Linked DNA regions of Notamacropus eugenii. The main gene of each other region encodes a partner of the protein of the gene in region 2 in a complex. Links are inferred from orthologs where the notes say so. Each region holds a gene or a part of one and is shown on either strand. Other genes may lie near its edges.

Evidence for each region. Proteins that work in one complex are often made in the same cells at the same time.
Region 1: RBM15B (region 2) and METTL3 share a complex: the UniProt entries of both Homo sapiens proteins name them as parts of the WMM complex. The link is inferred for Notamacropus eugenii from reciprocal best matches to the Homo sapiens genes RBM15B and METTL3.

The regions. Positions count from the first base shown.
Region 1 is NC_092878.1:12,405,461-12,413,472, forward strand, and holds the start of METTL3 (N(6)-adenosine-methyltransferase catalytic subunit METTL3), read left to right. Parts: upstream 1-4,926; 5' UTR 4,927-5,080; coding exon 5,081-5,180; intron 5,181-8,012. UniProt on the Homo sapiens protein: The METTL3-METTL14 heterodimer forms a N6-methyltransferase complex that methylates adenosine residues at the N(6) position of some RNAs and regulates various processes such as the circadian clock, differentiation of embryonic and hematopoietic stem cells, cortical neurogenesis, response to DNA damage, differentiation of T-cells and primary miRNA processing.
Region 2 is NC_092872.1:3,418,208-3,425,914, reverse strand, and holds the start of RBM15B (putative RNA-binding protein 15B), read left to right. Parts: upstream 1-4,673; 5' UTR 4,674-4,708; coding exon of another isoform or gene 4,709-4,717; coding exon 4,718-7,513; 3' UTR 7,514-7,707. Other genes in the region: uncharacterized protein, read right to left, coding at 3,507-3,759, 4,146-4,673, 4,709-4,719. UniProt on the Homo sapiens protein: RNA-binding protein that acts as a key regulator of N6-methyladenosine (m6A) methylation of RNAs, thereby regulating different processes, such as alternative splicing of mRNAs and X chromosome inactivation mediated by Xist RNA.

The sequences.
Region 1 (8,012 bases), on a different chromosome or scaffold from region 2:
ATCATTCTCCCACTCAAAAATATTCAATTATTTCACATAGCCTACTGAATAAAATCCAGACATCTCAGCCTCTCGTGTAAGGTCCTCCAAAACACCTTTCTTTTTCAAACCCCAATGTACTTTTAAAGCTTTTTCTCCCTTTCCTCCCCCGTGTGAATGCCATGCTTTAGTCAATCAAGAGTACTCAGTTCCCATAGGTAAATCTCTTTTCCATTTCTGTGCCTTTGCCCATGCTTTTTCCCATTCCTAGTATCCACTCGTCTTACATATTAGCCTCCTGGAAGGAAATGCTAGCTCTTTTTCAAGACTCAGCTAAAATGCTGAAACACTAAACCTTCCCCATGTTTTTTTCTGATCACATGAACACTCTTTCCTAAAGTAGTTACTTCATTCCACCAGTATGGTACTTATTGCATATTCAATTTAAATCAATTCTTGAAATATTTATGATGGTTTACTAAATGCCAAAGATCCTGTACTAGGTACTATGGGCAACAGGACAACCAAATAACATTCTTAGCCCTCAAGGAACTTATATTCTACCTAATATCATGTATTGCTCACTGATAGCATGGGGTCTCAGACATAGAAAGCATTTAGTGTTTTATTAAATGAATGAATAAATGTTAAAATAAACACCCCAGCCTAATGTGGAAACTAAAACTCACCAAAGTGGCAACCATAATGCCAGGTTTGTTAGGACCTACTTGATTTAAAGGCAATAATTATTAAGCTTTTTTTGAATTGTGGTGCATCGCTGCTTATTCTGTTAAAGTGATATCTCCAAAGTTCCCAGTGATTCCTCATGTCCTTTTTTTTCAGTTCCTATCCTTTTTGACTTTTCTGGACCTTTGACGCTGTCAAGCACCCTCTTCTCCTTTGCACTGTCTTCTCCCTTCTACCTCTTAGGATGTTCTTCCCAATTTTCATTGAGAAGTTCACTCCCACTAACCCTGAGTGACCCCAAGGTTTTGTCCTGGTTCCTCCTCTCCTCTCCCTATAGTCTATACTATTTTGAATGGTGATCTCATCAGGTCTCATGCATTCAGTTATTATCTTTACGCAGATGATTTTTATATTGAATTATCCGGCACCTCTGTCCTGACCTCCATTTCCTTTGGACATCTTGGATTAGATGTCTCATGGGACGTTTCAGTGTCTAAAAGAGAACTCATTAGTTTCCCCTCAAAACTCTCCCCTCTTCCCAACTTGCCTATTACTGTTAAGGAACCACCATTTTCTCAATAGTGTTACCCGCAACTCTTCACTCATTCCCCCACTCTGTTGTCCAAATCTGCCATTTCTCCCTTTACAAAATGTCTTTTACATTTTATTAAAGCACAGGTCTGACCGTGTTACCTCTCCCTCCTGATAACTCCTGTGGCTCCCTATTACCTCCTGGATCAAACATAAAATGTTTGATATTCAATGCTCCTCACCATGTACCTTCCTAGTCTTCACACTTTACTTCCCTCCAGACTCTCCACGGTGCAGCGACGCTGGCCTCCATCTCAGACCATGTCTCAGGAGCTTGGAATTCTCTCCTCCCACCTTCACACCTCCCTCCTGCCTTCATTCAAGACTCAGCTCAAATCCCACGGATTCAAGCCTTTCCCTTTCCCTTTCCTGGCCCTCTTTCCCCTACTTTTCTGCTGAATTCCCTCTAGAAAAAAAATGTATACACGTACAGGTATGTGTATATACGACAAACATATATCCACATACATACGAGTGTGTACTTTATTTATACGTGTACATAAATAAAACACACGTGTATAAATGTGTGGATAAACACATAAATAAAACACACGTGTATAAACGTGTGGATAAACACACATAAATAAAACACACGTGTATAAACGTGCGGATAAACACATAAATAAAACACACGTGTATAAACGTGCGGATAAAGACACGTAAATAAAACACACGTGTATAAACGTGCGGATAAACACACAAATAAAACACACGTGTATAAACGTGCGGATAAACACATGTAAATAAAACACACATGTATAAACGTGCAGATAAACACACGTAAATAAAACACACGTGTATAAACGTGCAGATAAACACACGTAAATAAAACACACGTGTATAAACGTGCGGATAAACACACGTAAATAAAACACACGTGTATAAACGTGCGGATAAACACACGTAAATAAAACACACGTGTATAAACGTGCAGATAAACACACGTAAATAAAACACACGTGTATAAACGTGCAGATAAACACATGTAAATAAAACACACGTGTATAAACGTGCGGATAAACACATGTAAATAAAACACACGTGTATAAACGTGCGGATAAACACATGTAAATAAAACACACGTGTATAAACGTGCGGATAAACACACAAATAAAACACACGTGTATAAACGTGTGGATAAACACATGTAAATAAAACACACGTGTATAAACGTGCGGATAAACACACAAATAAAACACACGTGTATAAACGTGCGGATAAACACATGTAAATAAAACACACGTGTATAAACGTGTGGATAAACACACGTAAATAAAACACACGTGTATAAACGTGCAGATAAACACACGTAAATAAAACACACGTGTATAAACGTGTGGATAAACACACAAATAAAACACACGTGTATAAACGTGCGGATAAACACATGTAAATAAAACACACGTGTATAAACGTGCGGATAAACACACGTAAATAAAACACACGTGTGTAAACGTGCGGATAAACATGTAAATAAAACACGCGTGTGTAAACGTGCGGATAAACACACGTAAATAAAACACACATGTGTAAACGTGCGGATAAACACATGTAAATAAAACACACGTGTATAAACGTGCGGATAAACACATGTAAATAAAACACACGTGTATAAACGTGCGGATAAACACACGTAAATAAAACACACGTGTATAAATGTGCGGATAAACACACGTAAATAAAACACACGTGTATAAACGTGCAGATAAACACACAAATAAAACACACGTGTATAAACGTGCGGATAAACACACGTAAATAAAACACACGTGTATAAACGTGCGGATAAACACATGTAAATAAAACACACGTGTATAAACGTGCAGATAAACACACGTAAATAAAACACACGTGTATAAATGTGCGGATAAACACACGTAAATAAAACACACGTGTATAAACGTGCGGATAAACACACAAATAAAACACACGTGTATAAACGTGCAGATAAACACATGTAAATAAAACACACGTGTATAAACGTGCGGATAAACACACAAATAAAACACACGTGTATAAACGTGCAGATAAACACATGTAAATAAAACACACGTGTATAAACGTGCAGATAAACACACGTAAATAAAACACACGTGTATAAACGTGCAGATAAACACATGTAAATAAAACACACGTGTATAAACGTGCGGATAAACACATGTAAATAAAACACACGTGTATAAACGTGCGGATAAACACATGTAAATAAAACACACGTGTATAAACGTGCGGATAAACACATGTAAATAAAACACACGTGTATAAACGTGCGGATAAACACATGTAAATAAAACACACGTGTATAAACGTGCAGATAAACACACGTAAATAAAACACACGTGTATAAATGTGCGGATAAACACACGTAAATAAAACACACGTGTATAAACGTGCAGATAAACACACAAATAAAACACACGTGTATAAACGTGCGGATAAACACACGTAAATAAAACACACGTGTATAAACGTGCGGATAAACACATGTAAATAAAACACACGTGTATAAACGTGCGGATAAACACATGTAAATAAAACACACGTGTATAAACGTGCGGATAAACACATGTAAATAAAACACACGTGTATAAACGTGCAGATAAACACACGTAAATAAAACACACGTGTATAAATGTGCGGATAAACACACGTAAATAAAACACACGTGTATAAACGTGCAGATAAACACACAAATAAAACACGCGTGTATAAACGTGCGGATAAACACACGTAAATAAAACACACGTGTATAAACGTGCGGATAAACACATGTAAATAAAACACACATGTATAAACGTGCGGATAAACACACGTAAATAAAACACACGTGTATAAATGTGCGGATAAACACACGTAAATAAAACACACGTGTATAAACGTGCAGATAAACACACAAATAAAACACACGTGTATAAACGTGCAGATAAACACATGTAAATAAAACACACGTGTATAAACGTGCGGATAAACACACAAATAAAACACACGTGTATAAACGTGCAGATAAACACATGTAAATAAAACACACGTGTATAAACGTGCAGATAAACACACGTAAATAAAACACACGTGTATAAACGTGCAGATAAACACATGTAAATAAAACACACGTGTATAAACGTGCGGATAAACACACATAAATAAAACACACGTGTATAAACGTGCGGATAAACACACAAATAAGACACACACTACACAGAATATACACGCGCACTGTCTCCCCAGGGGGCGGGGGCTGCTTCGGGCTTTGTCTGCAGTCCCTGGCACATGCCCCCTGACCTGCTGACCCGCTGACCCGCTGACCCACTTAAACATGGCACGGATTCACGGGGAGGATCAGAGCTCCCAAACGGACGGTGCTGTGCGCACCTCCCAGGCTATGGTGACGTTAGTGCTAACTCAGGGTCCCCGCTCCGGCCTCGGACCCTTTCACCCTCCGGACCGCCTTCCTAACGAGGTGACTAACATGGCCCCTCTTCCGCTAACGTCCAACATGGCCGCCCATGCGGCTGTATCAACATGGCCGCCCTCCTGCCAACTCCCAGCATGGTCGCTTCGGCTTCACGTTGCCAGTACCCGCCGGTGCCGCGGCATTTTACGCCGCCAAAAAGGAAAATGGAGCCTTAGACCCATGATTCCTAGCGTTCCCGCTCGGGCTTCGAGTGAGGGCGGAAGCGGAAATGGCGCCGCCCGCGGCCTCCGGGCTCTTCCTGTTTGGCCCCGGTGTCCATGTGAAGTTTCCCCGCCGCCCTCCCGCTGCGGGCGGCCCTGGCCGGGGAGGAGGCGCAGGGGCGGCCGCAGCTTCGCCGCCCCGGTCCCGAAGATGTCCGACACGTGGAGCTCCATCCAGGCCCACAAGAAGCAGCTGGACTCGCTGCGGGAGCGGCTGCAGCGGCGGCGGAAGCAGGACTCAGGCCACCTCGGTGAGGAGCGGGCGCGGGAGGGCCCGAGCCGGGGGGCAGCCTCGGGGCCGGGCCGGGCGCGTCACGTGAGCAGGTGGCCCGCGGGGGCGGGGGCGGGGGACCCGGAACGGCCCGCTGTGTGTGTGTGTGCATATATGTATATGTACATATGTGTGTATGTGTATGTGTGTGTATATATGTATACATATACGTATACACACATACATATACACACGCACACATACATATATCTACATATATAGACCCGCCTGGCGAAGCGCTGGAGCACCAGAACAGAACCAGGGCCACACGAGCTCAGGTGCTAACATCCTGCCAGACGCTTGCTACCTGGGGGCCCCAGGCAAGTCATTTGACTTCCCCATTGCCTCAGTTTCTTCATCTTAAAAATGTAGAGAACACCCCCAGGAAAGGCAGCGTGACGTAGCCGGAGTCCCCGTATACCTGGGGGTATGTAAACGGAGAGGATTCTGCAATCCTTAAAGTGCTGTACAAATGCTAGCTATTATTCTCTGGTGATATTTTTGCCCTTGCCCTCCCGTAAGTCCCCTGCAGAAGGCCTTCCTCTAAGGCTTTTAGTGCAGCCTGGATACTAATGTAGCACCAAAGCTATCTGTTTGTCCATTTTTTTAACATTTTTAATTTTTTTGTTGATAAATTTTGTTTCATTATATCATACAAATCCACACTCACAGTTTATTCCTTTGTAACGTTTGATCCTTTGTATACTGAAAACAGTATAAAATGTGACGTTTGACTGTGGACTCATAGATTTAGAGTTGGAAAGAACTCAGAGGCACAGAGACTGAGGACAAGAGATGGGAACTGCCTCGCCCAAGATCACGTACAGCTAGTAGGGAGCAGACCTAGTATCCAAACTGAGGTCCCCTGGCTCCAAATGCAATCCTCTCAATCATTTTACTGTAATCGTCCATAAAACTTCACACTAATAGTTTGCTGTTTATTAAAAGAAAGGAAGAATCAATGTTTTTGTCAGTTAGCAAGTATTTTTGAAGAACTTATTACGTGCCAGGCACCTTGCTAAGGGCTGGGGATACAAAGAAGAGGAAAAGTCCTCTGCCCCCAAGCTCAGGTTCTCTTGAGGGAGATAACATGTAAATGATTGTATGAACAAGCTGTGTACTGGATAAACTGGAGATCAGAGGAAAGCACTGGCATTAAAGGGGATTGGAAACGTTTCTCATAGAAGATGGGACTTTAGCTGGGACTTGAAGGAAGCCGGAAGCCAGAGATGTAAATGGAGAGAATTCCAGGCATGATGTAAAAATAGCTATGCATATGCTCTCTGTCCATGGGATGGATATGGGAGAGGGAGAACAAATGGATTTTTTTTTTTAAATAGAAAGTCAGCAGAATGCTACAGATGTGAAATAGTGCCTGAACTTTCAAATAAGGCCACTTAACACATTTTTAGTTTTATTCCACTTTTTCCAAGAGATTTCTCACATAGTGGGAATAATCTGTAAATGTAGGTAATTTGAAGACAGAACACATCAATGCAACTTTAAATTTGAAGGAAAAAGAAAATATAGAGTCGGAGATGGAGTGTCTTGTTGAGGAATGCCAAGGAGGGCAGTGTCACTGAATTGCATGGTCTGTGGAGGGGAGTAAAATGTAAGACTGAAAAGGTAGGGAGGGGTTAGGTTATGGAGGGTTTTAAAAGCCAAACAGAGGATTTTATATTTGATCCTGAAGGTAATAAGGAGTCACTGGAGTTTATTGAATAGATTTAAATTTAATAAGAGAGTTACAACATTATCCACTGTGTCTTGTCTTGAGTTTTGTTTCCTATTTGTTCCCATTCCCATAACGTTGTTGCAGTCGTTGTTTAAGTTCTTCTTTTGCTTTGGCTGTCTTCATTCTGCATCTTTTCATATAGGTCTATTTATCCAGCCCGAACCTTTCTCTTAAACTAAACCCTACATTACCAAGTGTCTGTTGGGCATCTCTGTGGGCATCTCAGACTCAGAATGGCCAGAAGAGAATTTATTATAAATTTTCTAATTAACTGCCCCTCCTTTAAATTTTACTATTTCTGATGAAGAATCATTAAATTCCCAGTTATCCAGGTTTGAAACCTTCCAGAGTCATCTTTGATTCTTTCTTCTTCCTCAATGCCCATCTCCAGTGAGTTGCCACTACCACAACCTCTCATATCAATCCGCTTCTCTGCTACTGGACCTCAGTGACTCAGGAAGAAAAAGTGAGGCCGATGACTGCGCAACTCTTGGGACAAACAACAGTGACCACCATAGTTCAGATCCCCATCACCTTTCATCTAGATTATTACAATAGCTTGCCACTTGGTTTCCTCTATTCTGTCTCTTCATCCTCCACATAGCTACCAAGATGATATATCTCAAACACAGATTGAATCTTATCAGTCCCATACTAAAAAATCCTCAATAAAAATCTTTAATCATTAAAACATAAACTTCCCAGCCAAGCATTTAAAGCCTTCTACAGTATAGCTCCTCTCTCCTTTTCCAGGCTTATTTCCTGTTGCTTCTCTGCACGTACTCTTCGTTCCCATCAAACTAACTTACAAATTGTTCTTTGTATGTGAGAAACTATATTTCAACACCTTGCCTTTGTATGGTTGGTCCCCTATGAGTATTTCCTCCTTATCTCTGCCTTAAAAAGACCTCAGCTTTATTCAGAACACAGCTCAAGTGCTATCTCCTATCTGAGGTCTTTTCTGATCCAACCCCCTCTTGAAATTACTCTGTTGATATCTTCTGTTTACCTATCGTGTGCATATTTTATCCCCAAACTAAGCCAGTTTTTTCTTTCTATTTCTAGCACTTAGTTGGT
Region 2 (7,707 bases):
ATGAGGAAGTTGGAGTATTGGGGCTGGGGGCAGCTTTATTAGGATTCCATCGATACCTTCATGTCTTTTCCTTCATCTTGGACTCTGTTGTAAAGATCTCATGTTCTTCCAAATCTGACTTTCCAATCCCATCCTTTCTCAACTGTTTTGGAGAGAAGGTCTCATCTGCCCCCATCTTGGTCTTTTGTCTTTTTTTTAGAGTTCTAAGTGATAATCCGTCACCCTGGAGAGCCTGAGATTTCCATCCTGATTTCTTGTTTTGATGTTGTTTTTTAATTATTTTGGTGTTCCTCTTTTAAGCCATTCTGTTGGGGTTTTTTTTTAATCTTTTCATCAGGGAATTTTAGTTGCTTTCTATTCTGGGGAAGCTAGACAAGTACAACAGTATTGGGGAAAGGCAGTGTCCTAGTTTTCAAAAAATGAAAGAGAATGTAGTCTGCAGACCACAGGCCAGTAAGTTTGACTTTAGTCCCTGGAAAAATTCTAGAACAAATTGCTAAATATTGCCATTAGAATAATTTTAAATGCTTGGTGAACATCCAGAAATGGAAGTAGGGATCACAAAGAAACAACATGGTTTCCTCAATAACAGGTCATGCCAAACTAGCCCCCTTTCTTTTTTTGATGGGAGTTTACCAGACTGGTTAATTGGGGTAAATATAGGGTAATATATAACAAAAAGATTTCAACAAAACTTTGGCCAAAAATCTTTCAAGTGATTCTTATGGACAAAACAGAAATATGTGCTAGATGATACTGCAGTTGGAATTACTAATATTTTTATGTAAACTTGGGAGGAAATCTTTAGTGGAGTGACCCCAGAGATCTGTGCTTGGCCATTGAACTTAACCACTAATTTGCCATGATCAAATTTGCTGAGAGCCAGGAAGCAGACAACGAGCATACTCTGATCTGCAGGGTGAATTCTTTCCCTGCCTGCAAGTTTCTTGATGTCCAGAATCATTTTGCCCTTTCACTCTGTATGTAAAGCCACATACTCCATGGGAGCATTAGAGACTAAAAATCTGACCTGGGAATTTTTTTTTGCCTTGTGAGTCCAATATGAGGCAGTATTGGAAATGATCCCCTTCTTCTCTGATAATAATATAGCACAAAAAAAGTGAGATTTAAAGAGTCCCATAGGAGTTTTAGGACTTGCATAAGCCAGGTTCTAAAACATGTGTCACTGACTCCTCTTCTGACAGTGACAGCTCACATTAGAGGATTGATGGCCTAAGCAGAATACACAGTTGGGGTGTCCAGCCATGTATCCCCCCAATTCTTGAAAACCCAAGGTTTGTTGGACTCGACCTCATCTTCAAAGCTATATCCCATCATCAGGACTGGTGACCCATAGCAGTAGGAGTCATTTAGTAAGGCCCTGAGCTGTAGAAGTCAGAAGCCATCAGGTACAGCATTGATGGCCACAACGATGGGTCCCACAGTAGACACAACATCTTGGAGGGTTCTCTCAGCACTTGAAGGAAATTTAAGTAGCTAAGCCAGCATTGTTGGCAACAGATAATTCTGCCTTGTACTTAGATTCTTTTCTTGGCCATGTACAAGCAGGAGTCTTCAGAATCAATGCCCCCCCTTCTCTTTGACATACTGAGAAACCCCCATTATAAACCCATGTTCCCCTGCTTCCAACTGCAGGCCCCCAGCCCCTCTTGCTCACTCACAGGTAAGAAGATGGTGGGATGTAGTCATGTCCTCTCCAGTTTGCTGCTTTGAAAACCTCCACAAAGTTGGATATGGATATTACAGTTGGGGTTTTCTTTCTAGATGATTTGTAGCCCTGAATCTTTTCCATGAATTCTTCCTTGGTCGTGTCAGCCAAACTGGTTCATGGCCAGTGTGTAAGTGGGTTAGTCCATGCTGTCTTCCATGCTGTCCGCTTCATTTTCTCTCCTGAAGGAGACGATGCCAAGATTTCCACACCTTCCAGTGAATGTCCCTCTGGATAAAATGAGGGGCTCCCAGGGTCAACCCCAGACAGTGCAGCCACTAAGAGAGAAAACTCCATTACTGATGCTGTTAACAAAAAGCCTGGAAGGGAAGTGTTTTTTCTTCTTTACGTTACTGATATTTGTTCCTATTTCTACTGCTTCAAAGAGTGACTCGTTTCCTAGGGGAAGTTTGTGACCCTTGTGACAAAGTGAATCATCTTTGCTTTCCATTCCATGTTCTCCCAGTGATTGGGAGCTTAGGTTGAGAAAGGCTTTGGAGACAAATTGGTTGTTCCGCCTTGAGTACTAGCTTCTAACTGGCTTGAATCGAGCCATTAAAAGACATCTCTGGGCTATTACTAGCTTTGGTAACACTTCCTACTGTATATGCAGGTGCTGCAAGGGACGGGAAGTGATGACAAAGTTACAAAGACCATCTCTGCAACTTACCTTTTGCAATATACCTTTCCTACTATAGCATATAGACAACTTTTTAATAAAGTGCACAAAAAGTGTCCCTTTCAAAGGAATCTTGGTATAACCTATGTACAAATGAGACAAATGACAGGTTTGTAGCCTTGTGGTGCAGTGGATAGAGCCCCTGGCCTGGAGTCAGGAAGACTGAATTCAGACTGAGACACCTACTAGCTGTGTAACGTTGGGTAAGTCACTTGAGTCTGTTTACCTCCGTTTCCTCATCTGTAAAACTGAAGGAAATGGCCAAAGTGTCATGAAGAGCTGGACATGATGGGAGCAACTGAACAACAAATATTGTTACCTAAGGATCCTGGCATAAGATTAAAGTATTCATGTTGAAGAGCCACGCATTTGTACGATTCTAAGGCAGGGTCTGAACCTGAAGTTTGCCCTCTGACCTAAGCATGCAGAGGAGAAAGTGAACTGGCAGAATTCTGGTGCTGTAAGATGTTCTGGAGATCGAAGTCAAGCCCCTCATCGTGGGGGGGGGAGGGCCAGAGGGGTGGGAGGCTGTTCTGGGTCTTCATGCTGCCTCTTGTTATCGCTCTTAATAACTCATCTAAAAGGGTGAAAAACCTTACCACTAGAGTCTCCATCAGTTCTCAGGAAACTGTCTCCTCAGGTAGCCCAGCGGATGGGCAGGGGTGGAGCTCATGCCTGCAAGCACCCGTAGCTGTTAGAAATCCTCCGTCAGCTCCTATCCTGTCCTTGAGCCATCCTCAGCGTAACCCAACATTTATATTTCAACACATTTGCCTCTGCCCCTCCGAGGCCACCCTCCCACTCAAAATAAATTTAGGAATTAATCACCATACGCCACGTTGGCAGTACTGGCTCAGAGCGCAAGTTGTGCCAAGCTGTGTGACCTCGGTGGATTCCATTAACGTTTATAACATGTAAGGATGACTTCCGTGACCTCTTAGGTTCAGGCTTTTTATAGACTAGAGAGATGTGAGGGATGAGCTTAGACTGAGCACTCTCCCTCTGGCCTGGCACTCCAACGTTCCTCAAAGCACGAACCCATTCATGATCTCAGGACCTCTACGGTGCCAGCAGAGAAGGGATGACGGGACTGGCACTTCACCTTGTGTTGAGTGAGGGAGGGCTGTGCGGGTCACCAACCTCACTTCTCCCCCAGAGCCACCTGGGTCCAGGGACCAGATACTCATCAGGATGGCTGGAGGTGACCCAGGCGGAGGCAGTTGGGGTAAGTGACTTGCCCATGGGCTCACAGCTAGTGAGCGTCGTGTCTGAGGTGAGCTCTGGCCTCGGGTCCTCCTGCCCCCTGCTGTGGTGCTCTGCCCACCGCACCACCCGGCTGCCCCTAGGATGCCTACAGGCAACAAAAAAAAGTTGAAGGAAGTGGGTGGAAACGCGCCTGCTGCGTGCGGGACAGGCTTCAGCGCCCGCGCCCGTCGGACCGCCCCGGCCCGGCTCCGGCCGTGAGAGCGGGGCCGCAGCGTGCGGGCGGGACCACGGGCCCGGGGCCTCCCCCGCACCTCGCCCCCTCCCCCAAGGGACAGCCGCGGTCCGACCCCGCGGCGTGGCCAGCCCCTCCGCCTCCGGGCACCCCCGGTGCCCCGGCCGGGCCGCGGATCGGGGGGCCCCTCCCCTCCCCCCTCCGGCCGTCCGGACCCCCAAAGATCACGGTGTAAGACCGAGGCAGCGGAGACGGGGTCGGGAAGACTCCGACTGTAGGACCCCGGCACGTCCCCTCACCCTGTCTGCCTCCGCTTCCTCATCTGTACAATGAGCTGGTACCTCTGCCAAGAGAACCCCACGGGCCGCCACACGGCCCGACCACGACCCGTCCGACCACGCTGGTGACGCGCCTGGCCGCCCTCAGCACCGGCGGGGCTCACTCGCGGCCGAGGTGACCGCCGGCGCCCAAGCCGCGCCGGGCCGCTGGGTTCACCCTCGGCCGGCAGGTGGCGCCAAAGCCCGCGCTCCAGTCCAATGCGACGGCGTCCGAGCCCGGGAGGGCGGGGGAAGTGACGTAAGGGCGGGGGGCCGTCCCGTCGGACGTGCGCCAGGCTGCCCCCCGCGCCGGCCGCCGAGCCGCGCGCCTTGATGACGTAGCCGCGCTGTCCCCGTCCCGTCCCCTCCCCTTCCTCCCCCGCCTTTTCGCGGCCGCCGCGCTCAGTCCTTTTGTCCAAGATGGCGGCCCGGGGGGCGCTGCCTCCTCCTCCTGCTCCTGCTCCGGCCCCGGCCCCGCCGCCGCTGCCCCCGCGCCGCTGCCCCGTCGCGCTGTGAGGGAGGGGGCCCGGCCAGGCCCGGCCGGCCTCGGCGCCATGAAGCGGCAGAGCGAGCGCGACTCGAGCCCGGGGGCCCGCGGGGCGTCGTCGTCGTCATCGTCGGCGAAGCGGCCCCGGGAGCGGGAACGGGATCGGGATCGGGAGCGCGGGGAGCGGGAGCGGGAGCGGGGCGAGCGCGGGGAGCGGGAGCGCGGCGAGCGCGAGCGGGAGCGCGGGGAGCCCGACTGCGGCAGCGGCGGCGGGGGTCGGCGGGCCGCGCACAAGAGCTCCAGCTCCGGCTCCGCCTCCGCCTCGGGGCCCGCCAAGCACCAGGCCCCGGCCCGCGCCCGCGACAAGCCCCGCGGCGGCGGCTCCGGCTCCGGCGGCGGCCACCGCGAGGGCCGAGGCTCCGGAGACTCCAACCACCGCGCGGGCGGCGGAGGCCGCTCGGGGGGCGGCGGCGGCCGCGCCAAGGCCGAGCCCGGCTCGGCGTCCGCCTCGTCCCCGGGGGCGTCCCCGCTGCTGCTGCTGCCGCCGCTGCCCGAGCCCCCCGCGCCGGCGCCCGCCCCGCCGCCGCCCGCGCCCGCCCCGCCACCGCCGCCGCCGCCGCCCGAGTACAAGACGCTGCTCATCAGCAGCCTGAGCCCCGCGCTGCCGGCCGAGCACCTGGAGGACCGCCTGTTCCACCAGTTCAAGCGCTTCGGCGAGATCAGCCTGCGCCTGTCGCACACGCCCGAGCTGGGCCGCGTGGCCTACGTGAACTTCCGGCACCCGCAGGACGCCCGCGATGCCCGGCACCACGCCCGCGCCCGCCAGCTGCTGCTCTACGACCGGCCGCTCAAGGTGGAGCCCGTGTACCTGCGAGGCGGCGGCGGCGGGAGCAGCCGGCGCAGCAGCAGCAGCGCGGGGGCCGCCGGCACGCCGCCGCCCGGGCCGCCCGCGCCCGCCGACCCGCTGGGCTACCTGCCCCTGCACGGGGGCTACCAGTACAAGCAGCGCTCGCTGTCCCCCGTGGGCGCGCCCCCGCTGCGGGAGCCCCGGGCCCGGCACGCGGCAGCCGCCGCCGCCTTCGCCCTGGACGCCGCCGCGGCCGCCGCCGCCGTGGGCCTGTCCCGGGACCGGGCCCTGGACTACTACGGGCTGTACGACGACCGGGGCCGGCCCTACGGCTACCCGGCCGTGTGTGAGGAGGACCTGATGCCCGAGGACGACCAGCGGGCCACCCGCAACCTGTTCATCGGCAACCTGGACCACGGCGTGTCCGAGGTGGAGCTGCGCCGGGCCTTCGAGAAGTACGGCATCATCGAGGAGGTGGTGATCAAGAGGCCGGCCCGCGGCCAGGGCGGGGCCTACGCCTTCCTCAAGTTCCAGAACCTGGACATGGCCCACCGGGCCAAGGTGGCCATGTCGGGGCGGGTGGTGGGCCGCAACCCTATCAAGATCGGCTACGGCAAGGCCAACCCCACCACCCGCCTGTGGGTCGGAGGCCTGGGGCCCAACACCTCTCTGGCCGCCCTGGCCCGGGAGTTTGACCGCTTCGGAAGCATTCGGACTATTGACCACGTCAAAGGAGACAGCTTTGCCTACATCCAGTATGAGAGCCTGGATGCGGCCCAGGCTGCCTGCGTCCAAATGAGGGGCTTTCCCTTGGGGGGGCCGGAGAGGAGGCTCAGGGTGGATTTTGCCAAAGCTGAGGAGACCAGATACCCCCAACAGTGCCAGGCGACGCCGCTCCCGGTGCACTATGAATTGCTCCCTGAGGGCTACACCAGGCACCGAAATTTGGAGGCCGACCTGAGGGTCCGAGATAGGACTCCCCCTCACCTTCTCTACTCAGACCGGGACAGGACTTTTGTGGAGGGCGACTGGGCCAGTCCCTCCAAAAGCACCGACCGCAGAAATAGCCTGGAAAGCTACAGCCGTTCTGTGCGCAGCCGCAGTGGGGAGAGATGGGGCAGCGATGGGGACCGGGGCCTGTCGAAGCCCTGGGAAGAAAGGCGAAAGAGGAGGAGCTTGTCCAGTGACCACGGACGGACTGCCCACTCACCTTATGAGGAGAGAGGCAGAACCAAAGTCAGCGGGCTGCCCTCAGACCGAAGCCCCGAGAGGCTCCGGAGAGAAAATCACACGGGTGAGTCGGGGGCAGAGAAGGAGCCCAGCAACTCCCTGCCCAACAACCGGCACGGGGCCGAAGAGAGAGGCCCCGACGCTCACCAGGTGAGAAAGAGAGACAGCGAACGCAATCATCGAACCGAGGTAGAAGCGAAGCCCATGGAAGAGCCAAAACCCGAGACCAAAAAGCTCAAGACTCTGTCTGAGTACGCTCAGACCCTGCAGCTGGGCTGGAACGGGCTTTTGGTGTTGAAAAACAGTTGCTTCCCCACTTGTATGCACATTCTAGAGGGGGACCTGGGAGTAATCAGCGGCCTCCTCAAAGACCATGCTTCAGGGAGCAAGCTGACACAGCTCAAGATTGCCCAAAGACTTCGACTTGACCAGCCCAAACTGGATGAGGTCACTCGGAGAATCAAGCAGGGAAGCCCCAATGGTTATGTGGTGCTTCTGGCCACTCAGGCTTCTCCAGGAGGGCCTGGAGCAGAGGGGACCCACACTGTGGAGCCGGGTTTGCAGCGGAGGCTTCTCAGGAATCTGGTCTCATACTTGAAACAGAAGCAGGCTGCTGGGGTGATCAGCTTGCCAGTGGGAGGGACCAAGGGCAGAGACAACACTGGCATGCTCTATGCCTTCCCTCCCTGTGAATTCTCCCAGCAGTACCTCCAGTCTGCTCTGAGGACATTGGGGAAGTTAGAAGAGGAGCATATGGTGATAGTTATAGTAAGAGACACTGCCTAGCCAAAACCTGGCTTTTCCCAGTCTTGTGTTTTCTTTGTGTCATGAAAACAGTTATTTTTAAAGCCAATTCTGCTCTTGGTTTGGCTTTTCTGCCCAGTTATTATGGTTGGTTTGGTGAAGGCCAAAGCCTCTGCCACCAAAACTCAATTTTTTTTTAATGCCCATTTGAAGGTATTCCCATTTTATTGATTTCT